Linked DNA regions of Caenorhabditis elegans. The protein of the gene in region 3 purifies or fractionates together with the protein of the main gene of each other region. This does not show direct contact. Each region holds a gene or a part of one and is shown on either strand. Other genes may lie near its edges.

The links.
Region 1: the proteins of zyg-9 (region 3) and dao-3 fractionate together in Caenorhabditis elegans (co-fractionation; one large-scale study listed by BioGRID). This does not show direct contact.
Region 2: the proteins of zyg-9 (region 3) and tppp-1 fractionate together in Caenorhabditis elegans (co-fractionation; one large-scale study listed by BioGRID). This does not show direct contact.
Region 4: the proteins of zyg-9 (region 3) and acbp-3 fractionate together in Caenorhabditis elegans (co-fractionation; one large-scale study listed by BioGRID). This does not show direct contact.

Annotation. Positions count from the first base shown.
Region 1 is NC_003284.9:8,081,866-8,089,073, reverse strand, and holds dao-3 (C-1-tetrahydrofolate synthase, cytoplasmic), read left to right. Parts: upstream 1-2,523; 5' UTR 2,524-2,524; coding exon 2,525-2,647; intron 2,648-2,936; coding exon 2,937-3,110; intron 3,111-3,232; coding exon 3,233-3,611; intron 3,612-4,076; coding exon 4,077-4,294; intron 4,295-4,643; coding exon 4,644-4,661; 3' UTR 4,662-4,864; downstream 4,865-7,208. Other genes in the region: Protein vem-1, read left to right, coding at 513-635, 695-946, 1,163-1,339; K07E3.4 (formate--tetrahydrofolate ligase), read left to right, coding at 5,171-5,173, 5,793-5,891, 5,941-6,397, 6,457-6,710, 6,763-7,208.
Region 2 is NC_003279.8:3,784,382-3,790,425, forward strand, and holds tppp-1 (Tubulin polymerization-promoting protein homolog), read left to right. Parts: upstream 1-2,206; 5' UTR 2,207-2,212; coding exon 2,213-2,262; intron 2,263-2,412; coding exon 2,413-2,559; intron 2,560-2,610; coding exon 2,611-2,858; intron 2,859-2,902; coding exon 2,903-3,000; 3' UTR 3,001-3,115; downstream 3,116-6,044. Other genes in the region: rpl-13 (Large ribosomal subunit protein eL13), read left to right, coding at 3,661-3,827, 3,872-4,037, 4,088-4,174, 4,278-4,481; ptr-2 (SSD domain-containing protein), read right to left, coding at 5,033-5,200, 5,247-5,381, 5,427-6,044. UniProt on the Caenorhabditis elegans protein: Regulator of microtubule dynamics.
Region 3 is NC_003280.10:8,455,015-8,465,748, forward strand, and holds zyg-9 (Zygote defective protein 9), read left to right. Parts: upstream 1-2,803; 5' UTR 2,804-2,806; coding exon 2,807-2,998; intron 2,999-3,044; coding exon 3,045-3,902; intron 3,903-3,949; coding exon 3,950-4,528; intron 4,529-6,030; coding exon 6,031-6,117; intron 6,118-6,216; coding exon 6,217-6,369; intron 6,370-6,418; coding exon 6,419-6,872; intron 6,873-6,919; coding exon 6,920-7,266; intron 7,267-7,464; coding exon 7,465-7,977; intron 7,978-8,094; coding exon 8,095-9,023; intron 9,024-9,099; coding exon 9,100-9,235; 3' UTR 9,236-9,498; downstream 9,499-10,734. Other genes in the region: F22B5.6 (Serpentine Receptor, class J), read right to left, coding at 114-207, 685-843, 888-947, 1,100-1,129; fars-3 (Phenylalanine--tRNA ligase beta subunit), read left to right, coding at 9,838-9,895, 10,032-10,087, 10,131-10,734. UniProt on the Caenorhabditis elegans protein: Plays a major role in organizing microtubules and spindle poles during mitosis and meiosis in one-cell stage embryos. Required for default nucleus positioning in oocytes.
Region 4 is NC_003284.9:10,900,702-10,907,541, reverse strand, and holds acbp-3 (Acyl-CoA-binding protein homolog 3), read right to left. Parts: upstream 4,271-6,840; 5' UTR 4,262-4,270; coding exon 4,201-4,261; intron 4,118-4,200; coding exon 3,997-4,117; intron 2,809-3,996; coding exon 2,715-2,808; intron 2,631-2,714; coding exon 2,556-2,630; 3' UTR 2,454-2,555; downstream 1-2,453. Other genes in the region: F47B10.8 (MARVEL domain-containing protein), read left to right, coding at 1,026-1,159, 1,364-1,457, 1,579-1,688, 1,743-1,822, 1,874-1,950, 2,001-2,155. UniProt on the Caenorhabditis elegans protein: Binds medium- and long-chain acyl-CoA esters with very high affinity and may function as an intracellular carrier of acyl-CoA esters.

The DNA.
Region 1 (7,208 bases), on a different chromosome or scaffold from region 3:
AAAGTCTCCAGACAACCAAAAGACTTTACTAAAAGTTTTTTTTATTTTCTATTACACTTTACTATATTTTGCACCGAACCATCTTTTGAAACTTTGTGTTTTGAGAAAAATCAAAACTATATTTATTGTTGTTGCTGAAGAGTACACTTTTCATTCAGTTCGAGGGCCCACTTCACTTTTCTTAAATTCGCAACAGTACCTCCGCCACACTATGTGCTATTTCATTGAATTTATGAGACAAGTAGTGAATATCACGTTTGAACTTTTGATCTTTTTGCTTACGTTTCCGCTTCAATCCGTTGAAACCTATAAAATAAATCCGTTTAATCGACGAGGTGGGAGGCGCGTGCCCTTACTCGATCGCGATCATTTAACCAGTTCGAGGCTCGCTGTCTAGAATTGTTTTGTCCTTCTAACGGTTCCCTCGCACTAATGGTTTGATCTATCAACGACCACCATATGTTCGAGTTTCAATTTTATACGTTTGTCATTTTTTCAGCTGTACAGTCACAATGGATCTTAGCTCTTGGTTTGAATTCACAATGTACGACGCGGTCTTCCTTGTCGTCGTTCTCGGATTCTTTTTCTACTGGCTCACCAGATCCGAGCAACCGCTCCCAGCTCCACCAAAAGAAGTAAGTATTTGATTAGCTTCTTTAATGAACATGTATTTTTTCTAAATCCTGAACTTAAGCTCGCCCCATTGCCAATGTCCGATATGACAGTTGAAGAGCTGCGCAAGTACGATGGTGTCAAAAATGAGCACATTCTGTTTGGACTCAACGGAACTATCTATGACGTGACTCGCGGAAAAGGATTTTACGGACCAGGAAAAGCCTACGGTACACTTGCCGGGCATGACGCTACCCGCGCGCTTGGAACCATGGACCAGAATGCTGTTTCTAGCGAGTGGGATGATCATACTGGAATCTCTGCTGACGAGCAGGTAGGCTATGCAGTTTTCTCATGAGTAAGAACGTGAAAGTTCGTTATAAACATTTAATCCTTAAAGTCATTGTTTTATGATTTGTGGTATTTATTCATAACTCAGGCATAAACCATAACTTTTTTGTGTCATCAATATGACATCGAAGCTAATTCAAATGTATATTGCCTCGGTCAGATTGATTGTGAACAAAAAAACCTAAATTGATTTTTACAGGAAACCGCCAACGAATGGGAGACACAGTTCAAATTCAAGTACTTGACTGTTGGACGTCTGGTAAAGAATAGCTCGGAAAAAGCAGATTATGGAAATAGAAAATCGTTTGTTCGTGGAGCCGAGTCTTTGGATTCGATTATCAATGGTGGCGACGAGGGCACAAAAAAGGATAACTAATTGTATTCAAATCCATAATTGTTGCACATTCCAAAACGGTTACATCTTATTTTATGTTCTTTGTATGATATGAAATCCCATTGTCCATCCCTTCTCACCATCTCTCGCAAATTTTATATAAATACTGTGATTTAGTTGTTTTTCAAATCGAAGAATGATTTTGAATAAATGATTTTTGTGTACGCCTTTGAAAAATGTTAATATTTAATATTTACTTCATTATTTTCACTGTTCAATTGCTCCGATAATTTGGATTGTGCAGGTTTTAGGACATTATTGATAAGACTTGTTTTCTTCATTTTAAATCATTTGAAAAAAACATTTGAGAATAACATGTTTTGATTTCTGGTTAATAGAAATAGACACTTTTTAAAAATCAACGTTTCCCAGTTTATAAGAAAAATAATGAGTTTCACATTCAAATTTGCAAGGTAAGAAGTTTTCATGATAAGATCCCAGTCCCATTGTAGTCAAAATGTTGATATGATTATTGTTTTTATCTCGGCAAATTGCTGGGTAAAAAGAGATTTTGCGTCGTATGGATGCCGATAAGATTTCTGTGTTATGCGCGCGCATTGCATGCAAGGCCAGCCGCCGACTGTTATCGATTTTCATGGTCCGCCGCCACGCGTTCGTATTGGACATTTCTGCACTGTGTCCATTATTTTGATATATTGTTAACATATAAGGCAGCAAAAACTTTCAAAAGTATTATTTTCATGTGACAAAAATTGAATTTTGTTCCTTGATACACTGTTTTCATTTTCAAGCAAACATGTTTAATGCGGAAGCTTTGACATCGAAACTGTCGGTGGAACATGTATTTTCCATGAGAATGTCGCTGACAAGCAACTCTAGTCACTCGACACATAAAATCATAGCGATCTTCAGCATAAGATAACAAGGCCAGGCCGTTTTAAAACTCTTCTCATCACTCCCCCACAAACAACAGACCGCTATGCATATTCAACTTTTTCGACGCTTTATTTTTTCACTCTGTCCCCCACCATCGAAATGTGAATATGTGCTAAGTTTCCAATCAGCTTGTCCTCTGACTTCTGCACTAGTCTCTTCCCATGAATAGCCAAGTACAAGAGGAGTTTCGTACTCTTTTCCTTTACTCTTCCCCTTCTTGTTTTCTTGACGTATTTTTCAACTTGATTATTACTTTGTTTATTTTTTAGAATGGTCGCGGAGATCGTCAGTGGACTCGAGTACTCAAAAAAGGTTCTTCACGATGTCGGACAGAAAATCGCAAAAACCCGTGAGCACCACCCAAATTTTCATGCAGTATTGGCAATTGTTCAGGTATGAAAGCTTACCACTGATAATAATTTTATTTCAAGCATTGCTATTAACTTAATAATATTTCTAAATTGAATATATGAAAATGAAAATCTCTGTCCAATCTGTGTTTTGAGTTCATGACGTACATAAGTGCATTGCATACTTACAAAACAGATTTTGAAAGTTTTGCAGAGCGTAATTTGTAGTTGTGGTGTACTTTTGAGATACCGGCTTTTATTTCGTAACAAGACAAATAATATCCGAGGGGATATCTGTTATACTGAATAACTCAAAGTCTCAAAATTTGCAGGTTGGAAATCGTTCAGACTCCAATGTGTACATTAATTCCAAACTGAAAAAAGCAAAGGAAATCGGAGCAGATGGAAAACTCATTAAGTTGCCAGACACCATCACTCAAGGAGATTTGAAGCGAGAGATTATGGCTCTTAATCATGACAACGAGATTGACGGAATTATCATTCAGGTTAATATAACGGATTAAGTTGTAATATTGAAATGTTAACTTATAACGGAAAAAAAACACATCTCAGTTAATTAAAAAAAAACATCGGAAGCTAAACAATAATAGCAAGTTATTAATTTCAGCTTCCACTGGACTGCAAGCACGAAATCGACGCAGACTCTGTTATCGACTTGATTGACCCATTGAAAGATGTCGATGGACTGACTCGTATCAATGCTGGACGTTTGGCTCGTGGAGAACTCCAGCGTACGATCTTTCCTTGCACTCCGTTTGGATGCTTGTACTTGGTTCAACAGGCAACTGGTGATGCCAACTTTGTGTCTGGAAAGGAGGTGGTTGTTTTGGGACGCTCGAAAATTGTCGGATCTCCAGCCGCTGCGCTTTTCTTGTGGCATCATGGAACTGTGACAATCTGCCACTCAAAAACTCCAAATCTCAAGGAGAAATGCCTGAGAGCAGATATTTTGATTGTGGCAATTGGGAGAAAACATTTCGTCAAAGGTAGATTATCAATAAACCTAAATTTGAGATAGTGCACAGTACTGGCCATACAGATATCAAAAGATTGATTTCAACTTCAGCAAACGTGGTTATTCCGAGCTGAGATCTGACTATAGTAAAATAGTGAAAGTTTTTATATCCTGATTTTTTGGAATTCATCATTGAACAAATTTCGCGTTGCTTTTTTCATAATTACGCCCAAATCCATTTAAAAGAAGAATCTTGGCAAAAGTTATTACGAGTAGACCTTTATATGAGCAGCACGGTATTTACTTGCTAACCTAAAAGTTTGTAAGTCATTAAATTATGCAAAATATCTATAATAGAAACCCCAATTTAAGAACTATCAATGTTTAGTATGCACCTGACTGTTTGCAACTTCTGAATTGTTTTGCATCAAATAGAAACAGACTCTCTGTTCTGATAAGTGTCAGCGTTTTTTACAAATAAAAGCATATATTTCAGCTGATTGGATCAAGCCTGGCGCATTCGTCATCGACTGTGGAATCAACGTTGGTGACGACCCAAACTCACGCAAAATTTACGGAGATGTTGACACAGAAGCCGCAAAGGAAGTCGCCGGATTCCTCACACCTGTCCCCGGAGGCGTTGGACCAATGACTGTTGCCATGCTCATCCGTAACACATTTGAGCAGGCTAAGAGACGACGTCTTGGACAAAAGGTAAAATAGCTTTCCTTTTGCGACACTAAGTTTGTGCAGGTTTTTTGATGTTCTGGCCTAAGCGTGGATAGTGCCAAACAGTTTGTTTTGCGTGTGGGGTTGATACTGATGCACCAGAGTTTATTTCAAAAATTACAAAAGACACCGATAGCACGTTATCGACTCAAAGAACTTCAAAAATTCATTGAGCGATAAACTCTACGAAACAAGCAAATTTCATGGACATTGTCTTCATTATTTACACCGAATGTAAAGTTGTTCTGCAACTATAGTGTGCCTCACACAAAATCGATTGAAAATATGTTAAAAATATTTGTAAGTGTTGTATTTCACAGAACCTACTTTTCAGGATGACGATGATGAGTGAACTTCAAGCACCCACTTCCACCACATCATTTGCGAATGAACTATTTATAATGTGCTTTTTGGTTTGACTTTTTACTCTTTAAAATTTGTTGTGACGTTCTGGAACTTGAAGTCCTCTTCATACCTTTTTTTAATCTAATCTTTTCAATTTGTATTTTCTTTTTATTGTCACTTTCCACCGAAATAAACAATGACCAAGGACACAATTAGCCCTGATTTGTAAAAAGACCATGGTCTCGCGATAAATGCACGTGGTTAGTTTAGATGTTTAGATGCACGAGAGCGACGCAACATCGAACAAATCAGAGGACGCGATCAATAAGGCAGACCCGGCAAATGCCCCCCGTGCATGTTTTCTGTGCGTCTCCTAATATCTGATACTGACTCGATTACTTGTTCTGCCCACTGCCTTATCAAGGTGTTTGTATTTAGTGGCCATCGCTCTGCAGTTGTTTGAATCACTCGCTTTTTATTTTCGTTGATTCATTGGTTTCTCTTGAATTGTGAAACATGGTAAGTAACACTAACGTTTTGGGATTTGATTTTTAAACGGAAAATGCAATTTTGAAAACTCCAAAAATAACAAAAATAATTTGTTCATGTTTTGAGCGTGAGCAAAAAAAACAGAACTTGTGTATAATAACTCCACACTGTAAAAATACATTTTCAAAAAAAAAAAGAGTCTGAAGATAAAAAAAAGAGTATTATCTGTTAAATTAATATGTACATAGAAATTAATCTTGAAAAAGCGTCTTTTTTGTTTATGTTGACTAATAAAAACTTAATATGTCCCAGTTTGATATGTTGTCATACATTTCTGGAAAACCTAAAATATGTTACTTTCTTCTGATAAACCTGTCCGTGCGTTTTATCGTTTTTTAAAGTCAAGTTGCGAATTGCAACATTATCACTATTGTCAATCTATTTTATTGATTGATAAGAATCAAAATATAAAAAAATAAGAATTTTTGATCGAAGTTCCCATAAACATTTAAGTCACAATTTCTATCTTTTCATCAACTTCAATTTTCAATTTTTCACGCTGCTTGCGCCGCAAATTTGACCGAATGGTAATTCGATTAAATGTTCCAAATCAAACATTATAATTTCGTTGAATTATTTTTTATTTCAGAGCACATGGAATGTTGAATACTTGAAGCCCACCCTGTTAACTCCTGTTCCATCGGATATTGCTATTTCGAGAGCTCAACCACCAAAGGACATCGAAAAGGCACTCAAGAATATTTAATTTAAAAAAAACTTATCTTCATTATTTTCAGGTAGCTGGGGAAATTGGAATCAAACAAGAAGAGCTTGACCTTTATGGACGCAAGAAGGCAAAGGTTTCTCTTGACATTTTGGATAGACTGAGCGAGGTTAAAAATGGAAAGTACGTTGTAGTTGCTGGTATTACGCCAACACCTCTTGGAGAAGGAAAATCCACAACGACAATCGGACTAGTTCAAGCTCTCGGAGCTCATCTTCACAAAAAGGTGTTCGCATGTGTACGCCAGCCATCGCAAGGACCAACGTTTGGAATTAAAGGAGGAGCTGCTGGAGGAGGATACTCTCAGGTTATTCCGATGGAGGAGTTCAATCTTCATTTGACAGGAGATATCCATGCAATTACTGCAGCCAATAATCTTCTTGCTGCTGCAATCGATGCTAGAATGTTCCATGAGTCAACCCAAGCAACTGATGCACTATTCAACAGATTGGCACCAAAGAACAAGAAGGGTTTGTTTGAAGTCCCTTTTTATGGCATAGAAATAAATACATTAATACTTACTTTTCAGGAGTCCGCCCACTTTCGGAGATCCAACTTCGTCGCCTCGACCGTCTTGGAATCCCACGTGTAGATGATGCTGAAAATCTTAGCGAAGAGCAGAGAGTTAGCTTTGCTCGTCTCAACATAGATCCTGCAACTATCACCTGGAACCGTGTGATGGATACGAACGATAGATTCTTAAGAAAGATTGAAATTGGAATGGGACCGAATGAGAAGGGACACACCCGAACTACTCAGTTTGATATTACTGTTGCTAGTGAGGTTAGTCAAAACAATTTCATGGCAATTTTAATTTATTAATTCTTATTTGTAGCTCATGGCGATTCTTGCGTTGACAACTTCTCTCGCTGATATGCAAGAAAGAATTGCACGAATTGTGATCGGATCCGACAAGGCTGGCAATCCAGTAACCGCTGATGATATTGGAGTAACTGGGGCTTTGACAGTTCTTATGCGAGACACCGTTCGCCCAAACCTGATGCAAACTTTGGAGGGTACTCCGGTTTTTGTCCATGCCGGACCCTTCGCTAATATTGCACATGGACAAAGCAGTATTCTTGCTGACAAGGTTGCTTTGAAACTTGCCGGACCCGACGGATTTGTGATCACTGAAGCTGGATTCGGAGCCGATATCGGAATGGAGAAGTTCTTCAACATCAAGTGCCGTTACTCGGGACTTCAGCCATCAGCAGTTGTCCTTGTAGCAACTGTAAGAGCTCTTAAGATGCATGGAGGTGGTCCATCTGTTGTAGCAGGAGC
Region 2 (6,044 bases), on a different chromosome or scaffold from region 3:
CCAGGCCGTCATCTCCGTTATACTACGTTTTTTCTTGTTTTCTCGGTCGTCGTAGAGGCTTCGAATTTTCTGTGTTCATCAGTTCGCCGTGCTTTTCTCGCTTATCAAATTTTCACATGTTGACACACCCTTCTTACTCGGTTTTTTGTTTGGGAGAAATATTGACTTTTTTCAACTTTTTTTCTTCAAACTCGTGTTGCCGTAAGAAAATCTAGGCTTGATGGTTAAAATTTCTACAGTAATCTGGCGAGCGCTGTGAAACCCGCGTTTGAAACGATGTGCGTCTTGAATGCGTACAGTAGGATAATGTTTTTGTTTTTGACATTTTTTCATCCAAAATTTTGGCCAAAACGCTATTTTCTCCATAAAAATCGCTTTAATTTCACAATTTTCAAGTTTTTTACTGTTAATTATTCTGAAACGATAAAAACTTGCGAAATTGAATGTGTTTTCTTAATTTTCTTAGTTTTTTCGCACTTCTAGGATTTTCAGATTTTTTCTAGGATTTTTTCAGAGTTTTTCCAAGAATTTTTAGAGATTTTTTTTCAGAAGCAACACTCTTTTAAACTGAAAACATAGGGATCCTCATGACGTTTCCACGAAAAATCCCCAAGTTTTTGGACGCCATCATTCTTTCTCATTTATTAAAAAAAAGTATACACAAATATTTATTAAATTTAGTTTGAATCAGAAAAATATTCAAACTCTACGTTTTTCCGTTGCCCAAAACGAGTTCATTAACGTATTCCGTACATGTGTAGATCCTTAGTTGTACAGCAGAGTTCAAATCCCCTATTTCTTCCAAAAGCACACACACAATGTAGATATCAAGTTTCGAGTTGACTGCTGCTTCTGCGCGAGAAAGAAGACGTCCAAAACAGGGAGGCTGTCAATTATGGATAGAGATCGTGGAGACGCAGGCGTGACCGTCGCTAATCTAGTTCCCATTTCGTCTCTCTCTCCAGTCAGTAAACCCAGCGAATTCTGTCCGTATGCCTCTTGCTGCATCACCAACTCGTCTCATACTCCTACCTCTCTGTTATTTTATTTCATTTTCAAATTTTACCCCCCACTCCCTCCGATGTTTGTTGTCTTGTTTTACTATCTTCCTGCGCACTCTCATGCACACATAGGAGGAGTGGCAGGTGACGAGAGAAACAAGAAAAAGATGGAGGGACAAGGCGCCTCTTTTGAGATTTGAATTTTTCATCCAGCCCGTTTTATGTATGGGAAACAAAATAGTTTAATTCTCTCTTCTCAGTAAGACCTAAACCTAAAAGCTATAGCTTTCTCTTTTTTATACATTTCCTTTCAACTAATAATTTATCATTCTCAAAGAATGGAATATTGGAAACTGCGTTAATTGCCTAATAAAGAACGCCATCAATAACAGATTCCGCACCCAAACAATTAGTGAAAGCTCCACCCATTTCTGTCCTTTTTCCGTTTACTTCAGTTCTCAAATGTTTTGAAAAAAGTTTTCAAAACAAAACAGTTCATATTGCATTCATGAATTCCCATCGGCGCCACTCAATTTCGCAATTTGCGCAGTGAGAGTTTCCGTGAAAAGTTATATTTCGAGAATTTCGCAATACTCTTTTCTTTTTATGTATTTCTCAGCCACAAAGAGCATGTCCTACTGATGATTTATCCGGTGTAAGAGAGGTCGAAATACGCGATTGAAAAGAGGAAGAGAGAAGTTTTTTTCTCATTTCATTAAAGAACGCCGTTTGCCCTATCTCTCTTCACTTTCTCACCCGTTTCCTGCTAGTTCAAAACTTCACTAATCACCGTCCGAATCTCTTTGGCTCGTTATGCTTTTCAACTGACGGACGGCGCAATTAGGGAACAACGTTGGCGTTGCGCGAAGAATGAATAGATAATAATCTTGGCTCTCGCCCCATTGTGCTCTTTCTACTCCACACTCAGCTTCTGCCAATTCCTTCCGACACATGGGCTTTTATACTTCTTCTTCCTCAAATTGCTAAACAAAGTCAGAAATCGAGTGCAGATATTGCCGCCACGTGATTCTCTTAATTCTCTTATGCTCGATAGAGCTCCACCTATTTTTGATTTATGCTCTCCTCTCACGCAGTTTTCTCAACTCTCTTTGAATATTTCCATGTTTCCATGGTTGCCATCGAGTGCTCATTCTTTTCCGGTCGTTATTCCTATTTTCACTATACAAACACCTTTTATTTTTCAGAAAATCATGGCCGCTGCTGCTGGATTCAACTGGGATGATGCTGATGTGAAGAAAAGGTAAATTATTTGGATTTTAAATTATAAACTTTGCAAGAAGTCCAGTAGTTTACCGATTTCAATTTTGGTAACCAGAAAAAAATTAACAAAACATTGTTTTTCACACAGTTTCGAGTTAGAATTTCGCATCAAAACCTTTTAATTTTCTAGATGGGACGCGTTCACCAAATTCGGAGCTGCTACCGCCACCGAAATGACTGGAAAGAACTTCGACAAGTGGCTTAAGGATGCTGGTGTCCTCGACAACAAAGCCATCACCGGGACAATGACCGGAATCGCTTTCAGCAAAGTTACTGGGTGGGTTGAACTTTACTGTCTGCATCGAATTAACTAAAAAATTTATTATAGACCTAAAAAGAAGGCCACTTTCGACGAAACGAAGAAAGTGCTGGCATTTGTCGCCGAGGATCGCGCGAGACAAAGTAAGAAGCCGATTCAGGACGAACTGGACGCAATCACAGAGAAATTGGCCAAATTGGAAGCGCCGAGTGTTGGAGGTGCGGCGAAGGCCAATGCGGCCGGCGTTTACAGCCGTCTCACCGATCACACAAAGTATACTGGAGCCCATAAAGAAAGATTCGATGCCGAAGGAAAAGGTATTTGTAGAAAATGAATTCACGAAAGAAATATGTAATTTCAGGAAAAGGAAAATCAGGACGTGCGGATACAACAGAAAATACTGGATATGTTGGAGCTTACAAGAATAAAGATTCCTACGATAAAACACATGGAAAGTAATCAAAGATCTCTCTATGGACCAAATAAATGCACTTCTTTTTCTTTTCGTTTTGTCTATATTCTCGAATGTATAATTCCCAGTAATATCTTTGTATTAATAAATTTATTTATTTAACTTTTTTTAATCTAAAATTCAAAAGCAAATAATTTCAGTAATTTTTTGAATTAAATTAATTCCACTTTCTAGTTTTTAGAGATGATAAAGTAGTTTGAAGTTATGTACCATATTAAAAATTATTTTCAGAAAAGTTAAGTTCACTGAAAATACCACTTTCTTATTGATTTAACTATTTTAAATGGAAATATTCAATTTTATAGACTGCGAAACAAATTAGGCACACATTTTGTTCCTGCGTAAATCGACACAAGTACACAGGCAGGTCTCGCAGCGCTTGGCTGCCGCAGCCAATTCGTTGGCTGAGTATTCAACGTTGTAACACTGTGAAGAAGAAACCCATAGAATTTTTCTGAATTTTTTCTTTTCTTTTTTGATTCAATATGCTGATTTTTTAAATTTTCTCCCGGAAATTGTTTTAAAAATATCTATTTAAGCTTTTTTTCGCAATTTTGCGTTGTTATTGAGTTATTTTCTGTATTTCTATCGCAATTTTCATTAGTTTGAACTAAAATCGCAATTTTACTTCTTTTTTTCAGGGTACAATGGCTCCACGTGGAAACCAAATGTTGGGCAATGCCCATTTCCGCAAGCACTGGCACAAGCGCATAAAGACCTGGTTCGACCAGCCAGCTCGCAAACTCCGCAGAAGACAGAACCGTCAAGCTAAGGCTGTCGAAATCGCTCCTCGCCCAGTTGCTGGACTTCTCAGGTTAGATAGAATTAGTCTTTTCATTAAATATAGTTTCATTTCAGATCTGTCGTCCGTTGCCCACAGAAGAGATACAACACCAAGACTCGTCTTGGACGTGGTTTCTCTCTTCAAGAGCTCAAGGCCGCCGGAATCTCCCAGGCTCAGGCCCGCACCATCGGAATCGCCGTTGATGTGAGAAGAACCAACAAGACCGCCGAGGGACTTAAGGTATGTAATAAATTATTTTGCATGAAAATTAAATGTATACAATATTTTAGGCCAACGCCGATCGTCTCAAGGAGTACAAAGCCAAGCTTATCCTCTTCCCGAAGAAGGCTAGCGCACCAAAGAAGGGAGACAGCTCTGTAAGTTTTTTTTTGCATTTAATTAAGTTTGAAAGTATTTTTGAACTTAGTCGATAACAGTTTGTTAAATAATTCCTGCATAATATGAATATTGATTTTTAAGGCTGAGGAGCTCAAGGTTGCCGCCCAACTTCGCGGAGATGTCCTTCCACTTTCCCACACCATCACCTTCGACGAGCCACGCCAAGTTACCGACGCCGAACGCAAGGTCGAGATCTTCAGACTTCTCCGCAAGGAGCGTGCTGACAAGAAATACCGTGGAAAGCGTGAGAAGAGAGCCAGAGAGGCCGCTGAGGAGAATAAGTAAATTGTTGATTTTCTCTGTTCATAAACTTGTTATGAAAGTTAACAGTGACTTACCAACGAACAAACGAAATGCAAATAATATTCTAAAATACAATACGTCTAGTTTAAGTTTTTATTTGAAAACTTATGGTCAAAAGTGAAACATCAGAACGGGAAAGTTGATTTTGAGTTTCCGATTGTAAATCTTAAAAATTCTGTCGCTTACTATTAGTTTAGGTTTTCATTGTGATTTTATTCGCTACTTGAAAAATATTAAAGTTTAATTTCAAGAAACGCATATTAATCCTCAGCTTTTGGTAAAAATTTGTAGCACTGAGAAATAGGTGGCTGTTGGCTTAAATATCCAATTATCCGTTTTCTTATTTTTGACCGATTTGTTCTAAAAATGTCTCCTTCCCATTCTAGACTCACTGATAATGTTTCGAGAGTTAATAATATTTAAAATTTCAATTAAGATATTCATTCACATATATTTAAAAACAACGTAGAACATTCACAATATTCTACAAATACACGTATTCAATTAGTTAATGAGAGTCATTGGAAGAAAGACTAGTCTAGGTGCTCGGATTTAATAGAATTCTTTGATCTGTTGTGTACAGTTGGAGATTCATCGGTGTACTCAAGCCTATGCGGGAAGCTGATTGGTGACGAGGCGCGGAGCGGAGCAACGGTTCGCAAATCGAGTGGACTAGACGAGATAGCGGCGATCCTGATTTGCTGAAATATGGGAAAATGAGAATGTAGTGATAATTTCAGATCAAACCTTTTCGATTTTTTGAGCGCTGGGATGACCATGCGGTGAGCTAGGGATTATGCAACATCCACGTACGAATATTGAGAGCAATACTGGAAGGAAAACAAGACCATGGAGAAGACCGAGAGAAATTGAGAGAACGACCTGAAAATAGAAAAGTTAAAGAATAAAAAAATTGAAAAGAATTACCGTTTTGAAAAAAGTAACTATCATATATGCTGGAATATCGGCAAGAACTGAAACCGCGATAATTGTAGACATAGCTCCCTGAGACAGTGGCCATCCAAGAGCTGATAGTGCTTCTTTCACTCTACCAGCTGCTGTATCTTCTCTGGATACGACATAGCCATATGCAATGTGTGCAGAATAATCGACGGAGAACCCAATTGACATGATAATTGTGATCATTGATATAGCATCCAGATTCACTCCCCATAGCGTCATGTATCCAATCACTCCAAAATCGATGGAAGCACAAGCGAGAGCCACCCAAAGTGAGCACATTGGCTGTGGAATGAAGAGAACGGCAATGACGATCATCACCAAAAGTGCAATAATAATGTTTTGAACAGTGTTCGGAATAATTATAATGTACTGATCAGTGAACATCCATATTGGCATAAAAGTGGTCACATTGAACTCCGGCCATCGAGCAGCGACCTCTCTAAATGACATTGTAGCGTCGGTTTGGTCCATTGTTGTCACTAAATCCTTCATTCCTAGAATAAACCGGAAGCTTTTGACCATCGTTCCATTATCATCATCAGGCATTGGTCCCCAGTAGATATCCTCTGCCAATGGATTATT
Region 3 (10,734 bases):
TTCACACAGTCATACACAGCTAGTGATTGTTATGAAAAACCTTTCGAGTAACTTTCGTTCAAAATTGCCAGAAATGTGATAGCTGCCCTCTAACAAAATAATTAGAAACTTACATGAATAAATTGTTGACATTTTTGCAAACCATATCTCAACAATGTGCCCCAGTAGATATCCGGTAACAAACAAACCGCACGCAACAACTGCTATCTGAAATTTTTTTGCAAGCATTATTTCTTTTCGTAAAAATATTTTTCATTTAAAAAAACACAATCAATGCGAGCACCGCTAAAGTCAGAATGCACTACCAAAAACTGTTTTCTCGCGGGACCCATCCTAAAAAAATTGTGCGCGCCTTAAGGAGGAGTTTTTAAAAATTGCTCTTATAGTGGAGAAATGTTAAAATATCATACTAAATATAATTTGAGAAAAGTTTTTCCCGTTTTTTATCTACAGTCAAAAATGGTGGAAAATAGGTTTCACCTATAATAAAATTGGTAGTCGACCAAAAATTTGTATTTTTTCTACGAGTTTTATAAAAGCTTTTATTGGGTTTCAATTGCTTGTTTTTAACATTCAAGATGTTCCTTTCCCACTGGTCGAAATTTCTCAAACAGTAAAATTTTCGGAAATACCAGTTATTTTCCAAAACTTTTCCTGTGATACTCGAACCAACTTGAAACTTACATTCATAAATACCACATATCGGAAGGTAAAATGTGTTTTGAACAGAATATCTACGATAATCAAAGAAGTAAGAATACATAAAAATGCAGTGGTTACACATGTCAATCCAAAATGAGTATTAGTTGCATTTTCTGAAACCGATGGAAGTTGATGTTTTAACTGAAATTATGCATTATTGCTAGAGATAATAATAGGGAAAAAACCATTAACGATTTTGCCACGAGATGAGTTGAGCATATTCCAAGAAATAATATTGGAAGACTCTGAAATTTTATTTGAAAAAAATCGTAAGAAACTCGAAGTAACTGGGATCAAATACTACAACAATTGTCATGTCCTACGTTGGAAATTTTAAAGAAAACTGTGAATGATTTTTCAACATGTTGTCTAGTTTTGAAATAAAAGAAAAACGTACTTGTACAAAAAATGGAATGTTCTTCGACATCGTCAGAAGAACGACTTTTTCGCTGACTCAACTGACACTGTTTCATGATACATTGTTTTCTTTTATACCGTATGTTTATATGTATGTTATTGTGTTATAGACGAATTTTCGATGAGACAAAATATGTGAAAATTTTTATTTAGAGTCAAAATATTATCTTCGAGTTCACCGTGAATTATATGATATTGCGCCAGAAGCCACCAGCTTTCAGGAACCGTTGGTAGGATAAGAGCCTCCAAGAAGTACGATGGACGTTTTTTTTGTGAGATCCACGTCGAGAGACAACACGAATTAACATAAGCAAAAGTACCATAGGGGTTTTTCATGCTTCTTCTCACGAATTGTTAAAATTTAGATTTTTTTATTCAAAAAAAAAAGGTTTAATAAACGCGTGCTGCATGCAACACTAACTTTCGGGCCCTTTTTTTTACGCGTGCTGCATACAACACTAACTTTCGAGCACTATTAGAGACTGCAGTATTATCAGAAAATAAATATGATGTTTGTAAATTAACAAGAAACCATCAAAAATATACAAAAACACACATTATTAGAGACTGTAGTACTATTGAAGATGCAGCGCTAATAGGAAATATACGGTATTTGAGAAATCGATAGAAAATCTGCAGTAACCAAAGTTTGCAACAACAGTACTCTTTAAAGACGCGCACCTTTTTCATTTATCAAAAATTTGTCGTGTCGAGACCGCACAGCATTTTTGGCGCCAAATTTCCTGTTTTTCTCGCGTTTCAAACGCGTTTTTTAGGCGTAGGCTCATTTTTGTCTTGTTACAAATCAAAAATTTTCATCTCCCGGTCTCCATATCTGAAATTGACCTTGATCGATGGCTTAAGCGCGCGAATTCTCCCTTCCAAAACACTTCTTGTTCATTTTGCATTCGTATTTTTGAAATAAACATTTCTTCGTTGCGCTTTAATTATTTTTAAGACCAAATTTCGCTATTTAACAGAGCTTTTTAGAAAATGTTTCCTTTCTTGTTCAGTACGCAGTTGACAGCCCCGTCGTTTTACGCGCGCGTTGCGTATCAAGCATGCCACTTGACGACATTTTTATTCGAACGCGCGGTAGAAAATAGTTTTGAAAAGCGCAACGGAAACCTTCTCGCTTTCGCACTTTTTCAATGAATATCAGTTGTTCCCATGTGAGCTCATCATTAAATTGTTTAAATAATTTGTCGTCGCAAGTTAAGCTTTTCAGTGTTTGTCGCACAGTGTTAAGCGTTTGTTCGAGATGTTTCGTCCTTTTTTTGAGATTTTGTTTCTTTGTGAAGCACTTCCATTATCTAATTAATCAAATTTATTATCTGCGTAGTGTTTTAGTATTCACTTGGCTCGAACAAAAAGTTGTATAAAGAATTCATTGATTTTTTGTCCTTTCTTTTTTTTTGCCGCGTAGTGCAACTGAGCCGGCCCGTCCGCCTCTGTTTCTCTGTTTGCGCTTCTTTTTGACGGGTTGCGAAATCGGTCGAAAATGGGCTTGCGGCGAAAAAGTTCCATGTGACCCCAATTACCCCTCGCAGTTCGAAAATATTGATTTTTTCCCTCTACGTTCTCCACCGGAAATCTATTGTTGAAATCTCCTTTCTCTTCAAAACTTATTTTCGTTCGCTTTCTTTGTTTATTGCAAGGCACGTAGTAAACTGTCATTTTTCAGATAATGTCCAATTGGGATTATCTGGACGAGGTGGATATCCTTCCCAAACTTCCACCGAACTTCGATGAGCTGCGAGAATCCAAAAAATGGCAGGAACGAAAAGAGGCATTGGAAGCACTTCTCAAAGTACTCACGGACAATGAGCGACTTTCAACAAAAGCTTCATATGCCGAACTTATTGGTCATCTGCAGATGGTTGGTTTTCATATTTTTCGGTCATTTCTGCAATCTCATTTTACAGGTTCTAGCAAAAGATGCAAACATCAATTGCCAAGCGCTTGCAGCCAAATGCATCGGAAAATTCGCAACGGGATTACGTGCAAAATTCTCTTCTTTCGCAGGACCACTTCTTCCCGTCATTTTCGAAAAAATGAAAGAAAAGAAGCCGATGCTCCGAGAACCTCTTGTAGACTGTTCCAATGAAGTCGGCCGTACAATGCAATCTTTGGAAACTGGTCAGGAAGACATTTTGGCGGCGCTGGCCAAACCAAATCCTCAGATCAAGCAACAGACTGCACTTTTTGTGGCTCGGCAGTTAGATTTGGTGGTTCCAGCAAAACAACCAAAAGGATTCATCAAAGCTGTTGTGCCTGTGTTTGGAAAATTGACTGGCGATGCAGATCAAGATGTCAGAGAGGCATCTCTTCAAGGTTTAGGAGCTGTTCAGCGCATCATTGGAGACAAAAACGTTAAAAATCTCCTCGGCGATGCTTCTTCCGATGAAGGGAAAATGAAAAAGATTGGGGAATATGCTGAAAAATCAACCGCTAGCTTCGCAGAAGAACAAGCTAAAAATGCTCCACCAGTCGCTCCCACTTCTTCGACACCTTCGGCAAGTGCTGCTTCGGGAGATCCATCCGGCGGAACAGCAACTGCTGTTGTTTCATCTGGAGCTCCAGTTGCGGAAGCCGATCCTTGGGATTTTCTTGACGCTTTCGACGTACTTTCCAAAATGCCCGACGGTTTTGATACCAACATCGAAAGCAAGAAATGGCAGGAACGAAAAGAAGCGCTTGAAGGTTTGCTTCAATTGATCACAGCGAATCCGAAGCTCGACCCAAAGGCAAACTATGGCGCACTCGTTGAGAGATTGCAGAAGGTATGTGTATTTTGTCCTGAAAAATTATTTTAAATTCAAATATTAAGGTCCTCGAGAAAGATGCAAATATCAATGTGGCTGCACTAGCGGCCAATTGTATAACTGGTATTGCTAATGGTCTCCGTACGAAGTTCCAGCCGTTTGCTGTGTCTGTGACTCCAATCATTTTTGAGAAGTTCAAAGAGAAGAAACCAACTCTACGTGATCCGCTGGTTGCTTGCATTGATGCAGTTGTTGCAACCACAAATCTCGAAGCAGTTGGAGAAATCGTACTCGCAGCGCTCGGAAAACCAAATCCAAGCATTAAGACTCAAACGGATCTTTTCCTTCAACGATGCTTCATGAAACTGAATTCACAGACCATGCCGAAGAAGACTTTGAAGACGCTGATCCCGTCGTTGATAAAACATTCTGGTGATTCGGATTCGGAAGTTCGTGAAGCATCATACGCTGCAATGGGAGCAATGATGAGAGCCATTGGAGAAAAACCTTCTCTGCAACTTCTCGCCGATATTGCATCGGATAATCTGAAAATGAGCAAAATCAAGGAGTTTCATCAGAAGGCGTTGGATGAAGCTGGGCCCGCAGAGATTGCTGAAATGGTCAAATCGATTCACAAAGCAGATGTGAGTTATTTTATTATTATTAACCAGCCGCTGACCGCGCCTACGGCGCGGGCAACGCCTGGCACCATTAAAAGTATTTGACACACATACCTTCAATCACTCAAAAAATTTCTCATCATGAAAAAAACTTGAAACACTTAAAACGCGGTTTACTGGCACTGTTACATGTATGTATTTTTCTACGACATGCATGTTTCAAAAATTCACAGACAGTATGAAAACTTTCTGTTATTTTTTGACCAAGACAGTAACCTTACAATACCACTACAGTACCTTGACATTATCCTCCACCGACTCCTAACCCAATACCTCTTCAAAGGACGAAATGCCAATTTTTCCAAAACTACAGTAACCCTACCGTATACCTACAGTACCCCTATAGTAACACTACAGTACCTTGACTTGATCCCCCATAAACTCCCGAATAACTACCTCTTCTAAAGCTCTAAGCTCAATTTTTCGGAACATTCCAGAATTTTCTCGATTTTTCTAGAAAGTTCTGGAACATTACAGAAATTTCTCGATTTTTCTAGAAAGTTCTGGAACATTCCAAAAATTTCCCAATTTTTCTAGAAAGTTCTGGAACATTACAGAAATTTCTCAATTTTTCTAGAAAGTTCTGGAACATTCCAGACTTTTCCCAATTTTTCTAGAAAGTTCTGGAACATTCCAGACTTTTCCCAATTTTTCTAGAAAGTTCTGGAACATTACAGAAATTTCTCAATTTTTCTAGAAAGTTCTGGAACATTCCAGACTTTTCCCAATTTTTCTAGAAAGTTCTGGAACATTCCAGACTTTTCCCAATTTTTCTAGAAAGTTCTGGAACATTCCAGAATTTTCTCGATTTTTCTACAAAGTTCTGGAACATTCCAGAATTTTCTCGATTTTTCTAGAAAGTTCTGGAACATTCGAGAATTTTTTCGAAATTTCCAGAAGATTCTAGATTTCCAGAATTTTAGAATTTTCAGAAAATTTAAATTTCCCGCAAAAATATTTTTCACAGAAAACTTAAATTTCTCGCCGAAATATTTTTCTCAGAAAATTTAAATTTCCCGCCAAAATATTTTTCACAGAACATTTAAAATTCCCGCCAAAATATTTTTCACAGAAAATTTAAATTTCCCGCCAAATTATTTTTCACAGAAAATTTAAATTTCCCGCCAAAATTTTGGGTCTTACCACGACGGGTCTCACCACGGTGGGTATTACCACGATGGGTCTCACCACGACGGGTCTCACCACGGTGGGTCTCGCCACGATGGGTCTCACCACGATGGGTCTCGCCACGATGAGTCTCACCGCGAAGGATGACAGACCCCGCCCACAATTCTCAGTGACTTTGGGTGTGACGTCACAGACTACAAAGACTACATAGACTACAAACTATGGAACAAACGGAATTATTTTTTTATATATAAGTAATGATAGTATTTAGAAGTATTCACTGATGATTTTTGTACTGCTTATTTGTAATTTTATTGTGAATGTGTTGTCAAATTTAGGCTCCGCCAGCTGCTGCACCACCGAAAAAAACAGCTCCACCGAAGAAACAACCGGAAGATGAGGAAGTGGTCGAGGAAGAGGATGAGGTGATTAAAATTGTGTTCTTATTTCCATATAGTAATTTGTATCGATTGTGTGGTCGTTTAAAACTGAAAACTTACAATTTTTTATTATTTTTTTTTCAGCCCCTGAAACCACCACCAGGCGATAAGAAGAAGAAAGTTCCCGTGAAGGAGAACGAAGAAAACGAGCCTCCCGTTGTTGCACCAAAAGCCGAACTTTTGCTCAGTGACAACGAGGATAAAAAGCAACGAATCAAGGAAGAGAAGCAATTAAAAGTAATTGCTTTAAATGAGTTAATAATCATACATTCTAATTAATTTGCAGTTAGTCAAATGGAATTTCCAAGCTCCGACTGATGAACATATCTCGCAACTTCAAACCCTGCTCGGAAACCAAGCGAAAGTGTCTCTAATGAGTCAACTTTTCCACAAAGATTTCAAGCAGCATCTTGCGGCTCTTGATTCTCTGGTTCGCCTTGCCGATACATCTCCTCGATCTCTTCTATCCAACAGCGATCTTCTATTAAAATGGTGCACTTTGCGATTTTTCGAGACCAACCCGGCCGCACTTATCAAAGTTTTGGAATTGTGCAAAGTTATTGTGGAGCTAATTCGGGATACAGAAACTCCAATGTCACAAGAAGAGGTGTCTGCATTTGTTCCATACTTGTTATTGAAGACAGGAGAAGCCAAAGACAATATGAGAACTTCTGTCAGGGATATTGTCAATGTACTTTCAGATGTTGTCGGTCCACTCAAGATGACACCCATGCTACTTGGTATGAGAGAAGAAGATCAATAATGTTCTAGTAATTTTTATTTTCAGATGCGCTGAAGTCGAAAAACGCTCGCCAACGTTCCGAGTGTCTGCTAGTCATTGAATACTACATTACAAATGCTGGAATAAGTCCGCTGAAATCGTTATCAGTCGAAAAAACAGTTGCTCCATTTGTTGGTGACAAGGATGTCAACGTCCGAAATGCTGCTATCAATGTTCTCGTGGCTTGTTTCAAATTTGAAGGTGATCAAATGTGGAAAGCAGCAGGAAGAATGGCAGATAAGGACAAGTCGTTGGTTGAGGAAAGAATAAAACGAACAGGAGTGAAACCGGGATCTGGTGTTGTCACCTCGCCGCCAACTGGAGGACCCAAAATTTTAGTGCCACAACAACAGGTTAGTTGTTTAAAATATTTCTCGTAATGAGTCAGGTTCCCTGAAAGATCACTTGAATCGGCCATACAGTCTTACGAGTTGGAAGTAAATAATATTTTTTTTTGTCTCAAATATTTGGAGTTAGTAGTGATTCCCTATTCGATACCCACGCGAAGTTTCGTTCAGTTTTTAGAAAACGAAAAATTACATGTTTTTCAGGGTTCGGTTGTTCGTCGTCCTGCTTCTCGATCTCGTACTCGTGAACCTGAACCAGAAGAAGTTCAAAGCGACACCTTCACTATACGACAAGACACAATGCCTCCAAAAACTTCATCTCGCTATGCACTTCGTGACGACGTCTTTTCGTCAGCCATGGGCCGTCTTGATGGCACTCAAGTCATCACTCCACCACAACCTGTCAATGGCTGGTCAAACAATACCTTCCAAATGAAGCGGACCAATTCTTCATCGTCGATTTCCTCCATAGACACTTCTGATCAAATCCAAAGAAGCATCAACAATATTTCGAGCAGTCTTGCAGATGTTGCTCAAGATGCTATGTTCCAGGTCACTTATGTTCTTAATCAACCTGAACAACGTCATCTTGTTGATCGACGTGCCGATTTGGTGTTTCGTGCATCTGCTGCTCAATTAGATTTGGTGATTGAAGAATTCAATGCTGGACGAGATGTCAGTGGAACTATGGACGCTTGTACGCAAATGCTTTTCATTGTAAGTTATATTTTTCATATGTCATAGTAATCAAGGGGAGTTCCGAAATATATCTGGCTCTCTTTGTTTCATTTAGTCATGCCATGTATATGTATATATCCAAATTTATCTTTTCAGTTGATGGGAGGAGTCGAAACTGAGCACGGCCTTGAGCCACTTAATGCGTCCCCCGACACAGTCAAAGCCATCATCTCTTCGGTCCTCAGATGTATCATCCAAATCGGTAACACAGAGTCCGGATACGGAATGGCAAGATCTCTCAATCGACTGGCAATGCGATTAATCTACAGAGTTGAGCTGTCTAATCTGTTGTGCGGATTGATTCTGGCAATGACTGAATCACTTCAAATGAACACCGGTATAACCGAACTTGTGTCGAAGCTCTCGTCGAAATGGTGTGATGAACTTGAAAAGAGAAGAGCTCAACTGAGAGCCTCGGATATAGTCGACTCATTCAATGCTTTCTACGTTTGTGCACTCACAGAACTTAAAATGGACATCAGCGATTCACACATTTTGATAGTTGATAACTATTTGGAGCGGGTTATCCTTCAGCAAGGAGACGTCGTCTTGGATGCTGCCCGTCGTCTTTCTCGACCACATATGCACTTGACCAGTATGATCAACAAGATTTTACAAATGATGAGAGAACGAAAAATTGATCCTATCATGCCTGGAACATTGGAAGCCAGAATGCCACAAGAGGATGAAGCAGTTGTAGTGCGAAGCGGCGTTCAAGTTTCGATCGACAATATTCTGCGTGATACCTCGATGGCAGTTAAACATATTGAGCAACTGAATATTCTCATTGCATCCAGTGACCGATCTTGGAATGAGTATATGGAATATCTCAAAAATAATCCAATGGGAGAGCTCATCAAGGAGCTAGTCGGCGAGTGTTCCAGAAAGAAGAGGATTGACTTTAACCTCTCTCATGTCGTTAAATCGTCAATGGCAGTTTTCAAAGCCATGGCAGCTACTGGTCCTGTTCAAGAGGAAGGTAGAATAACTCCAACAGATATAAACAGAATGGATACTATGATTGTGTAAGTTTCATAAGACAAAGAACGTAATTTAGCTCTCATCTCATATTTTGCCAAACTAAAAAAAACTAATTTTCAGTGGAACACCTCTATCTCGTGGAGACGCAACCATCACTCGTGCGCGTGGAAACATGATCCGTCCAAAGAGAACCACATTGAGCCGAGACCAAATGGCGAACATTCGTCATACACTGGACAGAGTCAAAAATCATTGATAATTTTATCCCTGCCCCTTAAAGTGCATAACACGAAAATAACGAGTAATTTCTTACACCCGCATTTTTACTGGTATTTTTTAGCTCTATGCTTCAATTTTATTTGCTTGTGAAATGTATTTTGTATTGTAAAATCATTTTGATTACCAGAAGAATTTACTGATCTGGAACTTTAATTTATTGATTGATATTCGTGGAAGAGCTCGGAAGTATTTCAGTTTTTTAGCGCTTATTTCATTCCCGGAAATAAATTTATTGTTTAACTTTTAAAAAATAACTTCAGCAAACAGACTCTCAATAAAAGGCGGATTAGCGGATTTTATTTGAGAATTTCGGTTCGATGACTGTTCTATGGAAATACATGAGAGTTTCGCTTTAAAGGTTCTGATTTCCAGAAATTTATTTATTTTTTCCATTTATTAATTAATAATATATTAAATTCCAAAAAAAGTATTGTCCGCAATGTGGCGTCACCGTGTACACCTTGGTTGGTACTAAGGACACCGAATTTGCCGACAATCCAAATTAATCCTATTTTCTTTTCGGTCTTCTTGATTAATTTCTCTAGATTTCCATAGTTAATTCATTATATTTTCAGCGAAATGCCAACTGTGGGAATCAAGAAAGTCATCCTTGACAAGCACTTCAAGCGAGTCTATTGTAAGTTTCTAAAAAAAGCAGTGTAGTCTGAAAAATGTTGCTACTGGAATTAAAGTAGTAAAAGCAATGAACGGATATCAAAATAAATTCGTAGTAAACTACATTGTTTGTATTACCAATAATGTTAAATTTTCAGCGGAGAAGGAGTTCGACGAGCTCTGTTTCGAATATGGCTTGGAGTTGGACGAAATTGTACGTTTTGGTTCAAATATTTGTTATCATATTTTATTTGCAGACATCTGAGAAAGCCGCTGTTGAAAAAGAGCAAGGAACAAGAGCTGCGTCTGATTTGAATGATCAAGAAGTATACAAAATTGACATTCCAGCAAATCGCTATGATTTATTGAGCGTTGAAGGGCTGGCTCGAGCAATTCGTATTTTCAAACAAGAAATCCCATCACCAGCATACAAATATGCCGATGTGCCAAAGACTGGTCTTCAAAAAATTATCGTGAAGAAGGAAACTGCTCAAGTTCGTCCTTTTGTCGTCGGAGCAGTTTTACGTGATATTTCATTCGATGCGGATAGCTATGCTTCTTTCATTGATCTTCAGGACAAGCTGCATCAAAATATCTGCAGAAAGCGTACTCTTGTTGCCATCGGAACACACGACTTGGACACCATTCAAGGGCCATTCGAATACCGAGCCGAAGCTCCAAAAGATATCAAGTTCAAACCGCTTAATCAAACGAAGGAGTATACTGCGGAAGAACTGATGACCCTGTATTCCACCGATAGTCATTTAAAAGCTTATCTTCCTATTATTCAAAATCATCCAGTGTATCCTGTGATTTATGATAAGAACGGAGTTGTTTGCTCAATGCCGCCTATTATCAATG
Region 4 (6,840 bases), on a different chromosome or scaffold from region 3:
AAGACGTATTGGACCACATAAATATCGGTTAATAGGCGCCACCTATCATTGATAAGGGCGTGAAAAGTGCGCCGAAGGTAGATGAGCTTTTCAAAGCACGATTGGAGCAATTGGTGGTGCATTAAATGCGGGGAGAAACGCAAAGCCTCCAATATTTTTTCCAAAAATTTAAAATATGTATGCTTTGAAAATACTATGGCAAATGGACATGGTAAAATCAATTGTGAAAATATTTAATAAAAAAATTTTTCAAGCACTTACGGCTTCGATTTTTATTTCATCATCATTCCCAACAAAATCATCATTTCATCAACAGTTCTCAAATTATATTTAATTTTTCAAAACCGAATTGTGTTTAAATGATCACCTGTGGTGTGTTCAACCGAGTAAAAAAGAAGACGAAGCGCTTGAATGGCAGTGATTTATGTTTTTTTCTAAATCCAAGACGTGCCCAAAACAACACACATGCATATCCATATACTGCTCACCTCAAAAATCAAAATTTGGATAAAAAGTCTGTCTGCGTAAAATTGAAAATCTGCTGATACTAGAATATTCAAGGTTGCCGATAACTCAAAAACGATCGTTTTTATCACGCTATTCTAGAATAAATAATTCTGTGCACGGAGTTGTTGAAGCTTCTACAAAATTTTCTTCATTTTTTGATTTATTTTCTGCCATCCTGTGTCTGATGAATTTTGAGCCGTATTCAGTTGTTTTGGAATCAGATAACCCTGACTGTCCAATTATCAAGATTCCGCATTGTAAGTCGATTTTCTTTACTACACTTCTATTTTAAAAACATAAAAAAATGCTCAGTTCTTTTTTACATTTATCCTCTCAAAGTTAGTAAAAAGTGGTCAAGATTCAATTTCAACATTGTTTAGGACGCACACTTCTGTTATTGAATCTTTTCTTTCCAAGATGTTGTGCATTCACTTTTGGCACATTCTGAGCATTCATGAGCAAGGACCGAAATATTATCTACTATCGTGATCTCTACTATTACACTGTTATGTTTGCAGATGCAAACGGAAATGAAAACGGAAACGGAAACGGAATAATGAAAACGCCGCAACGGGAAACTGTCGTGAGCCTGGGTTTCACGGAAGATCCCATTCCTCCCAACAGTTATTGCTGCAATTCTTGTCATATTCAAGTAAGCTCGCATATAAAGTGTTCCCTTTTACTGGTTTCAGCAGATAGTCAGTTTTCAGATAAAGTAGAATAAGCGACTGCAAAAAAATGTGTGAATTTTTTTAAAAATTGTTGACTATAAATGTGATTTGAATAGTTTTTCTACGATGCAGATAATAAAAGAAAGTTGAAATATAATGTTTAAAAAACAACAACAACATTTCAGAAAGCGTGCCGAGCAGTTGCAGTATTTGCCTTTTTAGGATTTATCATAAACCTTGTTCTATATTTTATGGGCATCTCAAAACTCGGTCTAAACGGTAAGCACGTCACAATTTCTTGTTTATACCAACTATTTGCATACTTGTTTTGCTAAATTTATTCAAAATCCAATTTGTAATTCATTCATATAATTCTTTTCTCTATTTTTCTTTTTTGCAGGATATCTCGAAGCGTTCCTTCTTATATTCGACTGCATTTCTCTGCTGACTCTGTTTTGTGGTGTCTCAAAGCAACGTTCGGGATTGCTGAAGCCGTACTTGTTTTACAATGTATGTTTATTTTTTGCTTCGTTCTTTTTCATGAAACGTATAATTATGTTGCAGGTAATATGGAACTTTGGCATGATAATTTTGTTCCTGGTTTTTGTGTACCACATGTTGAAGGGAACTAGTGATGTATCGAGGTTTTGGGAACTAACAGACTCGGAACAAACTAAAAACAACTATATTTACAGGAACATCCTCGACAATCTTAAAGCTTTGCGATCAAATCCAGATGAGTATCACTTCCGATCAAGAGAAAGTGTTACCAGTGAGAACGATTATACTACTTGTGAATATTTATACTTCAAAATTTTTCAGCTGCAATCCTGGTCACACTGGGTGTGATGGCTGCCATGTCGTTTGTTATAGTCATAAATTGCATATTTTTGCATGTTGTCTACCGCACTTTTCAGTTTTTTGCATACCAGGAAGACAAGAAGAGAGAGGAAATGGATAAAAAGGAACGCTTATAACCTTTGCAATGTTTTATCTGAAATGTTTAACCTCGTGCTTTCTATTGAACTATCTCTTACACACAAACATTATGTTGATCTCTTATGTATTCCGAATTCATTTAATTTCCTTCTCGGGTGCTCGTCTGATTTTCATTTTTATTTTATATTGTGGATTTAAAATTTATTCACAGTTTCAACTCTACTGCAATAAAAATTATGTATACATACAATGTTCAAATTTCACTATTACAAATGCAATTCATAGTTTTCATTTTCATGCAAGATTCTTCCAATGTACAGTAAAACTATAGAGTTATTCAATTTACAAAATTAATTCATATTTATTTAGTATCAAGAAGCAATACAAATAATTATATTGTTCGAAATTTGAAAAAAAAATGTTTATGATAATTAAGATTTACTTTCCAATGAGAGCGAGGTTGGTTTTGATGACTGGGTCAATTTGTTCAAGCCAAGCGGCAACATCAAGTTCCTGAAAACAAAGTAATTCTGAACGTAACTACTAGTTTCTGCTACAAAAACTTCAAACGTTTGCCGACAAGACCCATTCACATACCTCGGCGATTTTGTCAAACATGTCGTTTAGAGCCTTGATATAACGCTCTTTAGCTTCATCTTGAGACACTCCTTCGAGCTCTTTCCATGAGTCCCTGGAAATCGGATTAACTGGGGTTGGTCAGGAAAATGCCAGTAAATACTGTGAGCCAGTTGGAATTAATTGTTATTTTTACATGGCTTCAACATCAATAGTCGCAACGTACCATTTTCAGACAAGTAGTTAAACTATTTTGAGTTATTGGAACTGACCCATCTAACTTTTTCAATTACTATTGTACATTTTATTAGAAATGTGTACTATTAAAAGTGCACTAAAAATCGGTGTTTGAAAAATTATACCAGCAGTCTGTTTAGAATTGCGATCTTAGCACTCCACACTTTTACAACTTTTTTTTTAGCGCCAGCCAATGAAATAAATAGAAAACATTACAAGATATACTACCTTTTTATGGATGTTTCAAAATCACGACTGTTATAATTAGATACGATCACTCGTTCTTTTGAAACTTTCTGATTTTAAATAATACTTGTATTTAAATTGCCTTTTTTGTATTATTGCCTTTTAGAATAAAACCTTCACTATCGCCAGCATTGAAATAATGTTCCACCAACACATATGTTTGATGGGTTCGTTCTTTTTATTCATGAACGAGTACTTGTGTAATATCAGTACACCAAAAAATCTTTTTAATTTTTTTCAAAAATACAATATGAGTTCTTTTTGAATTTTAGACTTAGGAAAAATCTAAACCTAAAAATGAATTGAGCATTAAAATGGTTATTTACGTTGTGGTCATTTTGGAATTTTATCCATTGCATACATTGTGGGATACAGTAACTACACAAGTACCCATGAACGGAATTATTTTTTGAATCCATGTTTCTACAAACGTGAAAACATTAATACAGGCTTCGTGTTATTTTTAAGGGGTATTTCAAACATAGTTTATGGTTTTGAAGAGACCAATGATCAGAAACGACACTCTACATTTCTTCAAAACTTTTTATTGATAATTTCACAATCATCCGTTCCTACTCGTTTTTTGTGGCACCATATTCGAAGAAAATGATAATTGCATCGTTTGCAGACACAACGCCGACATTTGTTGCATAGCGATAAGTTAATATATATTGCGGTCAAAAAATCAACACACATAACTCACGCAATTCTGATGCAGTTTAGCTAGCCACGCGGTCATGACTCATTTGTCAATGAAATAAGAAAAAAAGAATTCCCCTTTTTCGAATCAGACAAAGGAATAATGAAAAAAAAAACTGACCACTTCTTTCTCTCGATGATGGAGAAAATTCCTGGTCTATCGGTGTTCACATCTCCGATAGAAGCCTGTTTGAACAAAGAGTAAAAGGTAAGCTTCTGATCATTGCTGGTGGCAACTGGTCCTAGAAAAATTGTAAATTTAGCTTTGAATCAACTACATCATAGCATAGTTTGTAGCATTGTAGCGAATCAAAGTCCAACGTACCTGTTTTTGGAAGTTTCTGGATGATTTCCACAGCAGCGTCGAACTTTTCTTGAAGAGACATTTTCTGAAATAAGAAAGCGTTGAAATTTTTAGGTTAATGAATAGATTAAAAAGATTAAAAAGTTCGAAGCGGTTTTCAAATTGCAAATTGATTGACTTTTTCAAAGGCCTTGAAATAAACTACACCTATTTACTTAGTTATCAAACACGGTTTAAATCAAACAAGACATCAAAACGAGACTAGAATCCAAAAAGTACAAAACAGGGAGAACTGAACGTGAAGAAATCTGTGAGTAGTGCCGTTGGGCGCCGTCAGCCCGATCGGATTTACAAGGACAAACGGGCTGCTGCTGTTGACCTAAATCTTTTCCCTGGATATAAAGATGACCCATTCAGTATCGTGTCTTCCCGTGAACAAGACGTCATCTTTTTATCATTGGCGCTGGTCTTCGGGAAGGACAGTACAATTAATTGTCCGGAAAACTGCGGGTGAGAGATTACACTCATTTAAAGGATACCATTGGAGAATGGAATAGGATAATATCATTTTGAGAAAAAAATAGAATAAATTGAACTCAGGTATTTGACAATAGTAAAAACGTGTATTCTTATTGTTAGAATTTACTTCTAAATTGAAATTTATGTGGTTGCTGTACATCAAAAAATGTTCAAAAACCATATGAAATATTTCAAATCTTTTTAATATAAAATGTAAAAAAATTCTTTGTAGAAACTTCAATATACTTTCAAAATAAAATACACACGTACCAAAATGTATTTCACTTTTCTTGTAATATTCAGAGCATAACAAAAAGTGGGAAACAATCGAAAATAATAATAGAAAATAATCAAAGTTTACCATAAACTTCAAAAAAAAGTATAATATATTTATTTTATGAATTCACCGATTGTTGCCTTATTTTCTCTGTTGTTCGTATATTTTGCAAACTTTATGAAGACACCCAGTTTAAAAGAATTGAATGTTTTTTGAAATTTACGACTGTTTCCGATAAGTTACTCGTTTCAGACAGTTTAATTAAATCTTCAATTTTGCCAAATGCTTATTTGGATTACGTACTTATTAGTTTTTTTCTCGGATAAACAAGGAAAATACCTAGTTTGGAGTATAAATAATTTTTTAAACGTTAAATTTTTAGTAAATGTTTCGTAGATGAATTTTTGTCCCTCATAATGCTTGACGGTCGTCTTTTTTCAAGAATTACAAAAATCACATTAAAAGTTGAAAATAGGTTTTTAAAATATACAAAAAGATCATGACAAACACAATGATACAGACATCACATTAGATTTTTGACTATACAACGTGTTATCTGATAAGAACATGGAATTCAAGTTGCGTAGCTGCAGCAAACATTAGTGGCATGACGTTTTACTGGAAAGATAACCTTCCATGTTACTGCGACTAGTTTCAAATTTGGTGCTTAATGACCACGTGAGACTTTGTTGCGTGTTTTTATTTTGGTGGCTATGTTTTTCAAAAAATTTACCTGTCTGACAAATAGTAACAAACACATGGTAACTGATCAACCGTATTTATAAGATTTTAGAATTTTCAACAAAGTTAATTTTCTTTATAGAATAATTATTATAGTCACTGTTTTTACTGTGGTTGTATAATGTCGTTCTAAAATAAAAATAAAAAACTGTTCTGCTGAGTTCAGTAATAAAACTTTGTATTCATTTATACGTTTTCATGTTTTCGACGTTTTCATTTTTGTTTTCGTTTCCACGTTACGTTCCACGTTGTCACCTTTGTAGATGTAGAGATGATTTTGGTGCCTGCTCTGGCTGAAATTGAAGAGTGGTGTATTTTTGATCCATTACATTTCAAGAAAACATGTAAACTTTAAGAGACTTTAATCTATACATGTACATTGCCAGACAGTAATACTTTTTCAAAGATCAGTAAATACCCAATTGAATCAAACGAAGAAATATGACGTCTTTCTATCCACCCACTTATCCAATGCAAGACTCTGTCTATTCTCTCTCATTTTTTCTCACCCAGAGCGAAAAAATGCCTTTTGGTTTTCCAACTCTACGCTCATTTTCTTCTTCATACTCAACATCCTATCTGTTTGGCGGGAAGAGAGTCAAAGAAAAAAGGGAAATAGAGTTGTGTGTCTCACGTTGGAACGGCATGCAAGAAGGACACAACAACGCTGCACACTACACGCAGATGGGTCCTCTCTCTCTCGTCTTTCCCTCTGACAATTCCATTGATCCATCGTTGTCTGTCTCTATGTCCCGGGGAAACATAGAGAAGAAGAGAAAACCTTCTTGTTTCCTCGTTTACCCCTACTGATAATTTCATCCAACTCAACCTTTTTTCCTCTCGTTGGCCCCTCTTGTTTTGATGTGACATGGATGCACGGAGCTTGATTGCATCCAATTGTTATCAATATTACTTTAGTTTATTTTATATGTGATTATGGGAGTAGTTATTTTAAGAGGCCGAATTCCTTTTTTTATGTGAAATCTCGTGGGTTTCCCAATTTGAAATTAATGTTTTTGGCTAGTACGCTGTTCCAGTTTTTTGTTTAAATTAACATTTATTCCAACTGATCATGCATTTGAAAATACGAATATAAAACAAAATCTTTGATATTCCTGATCCCT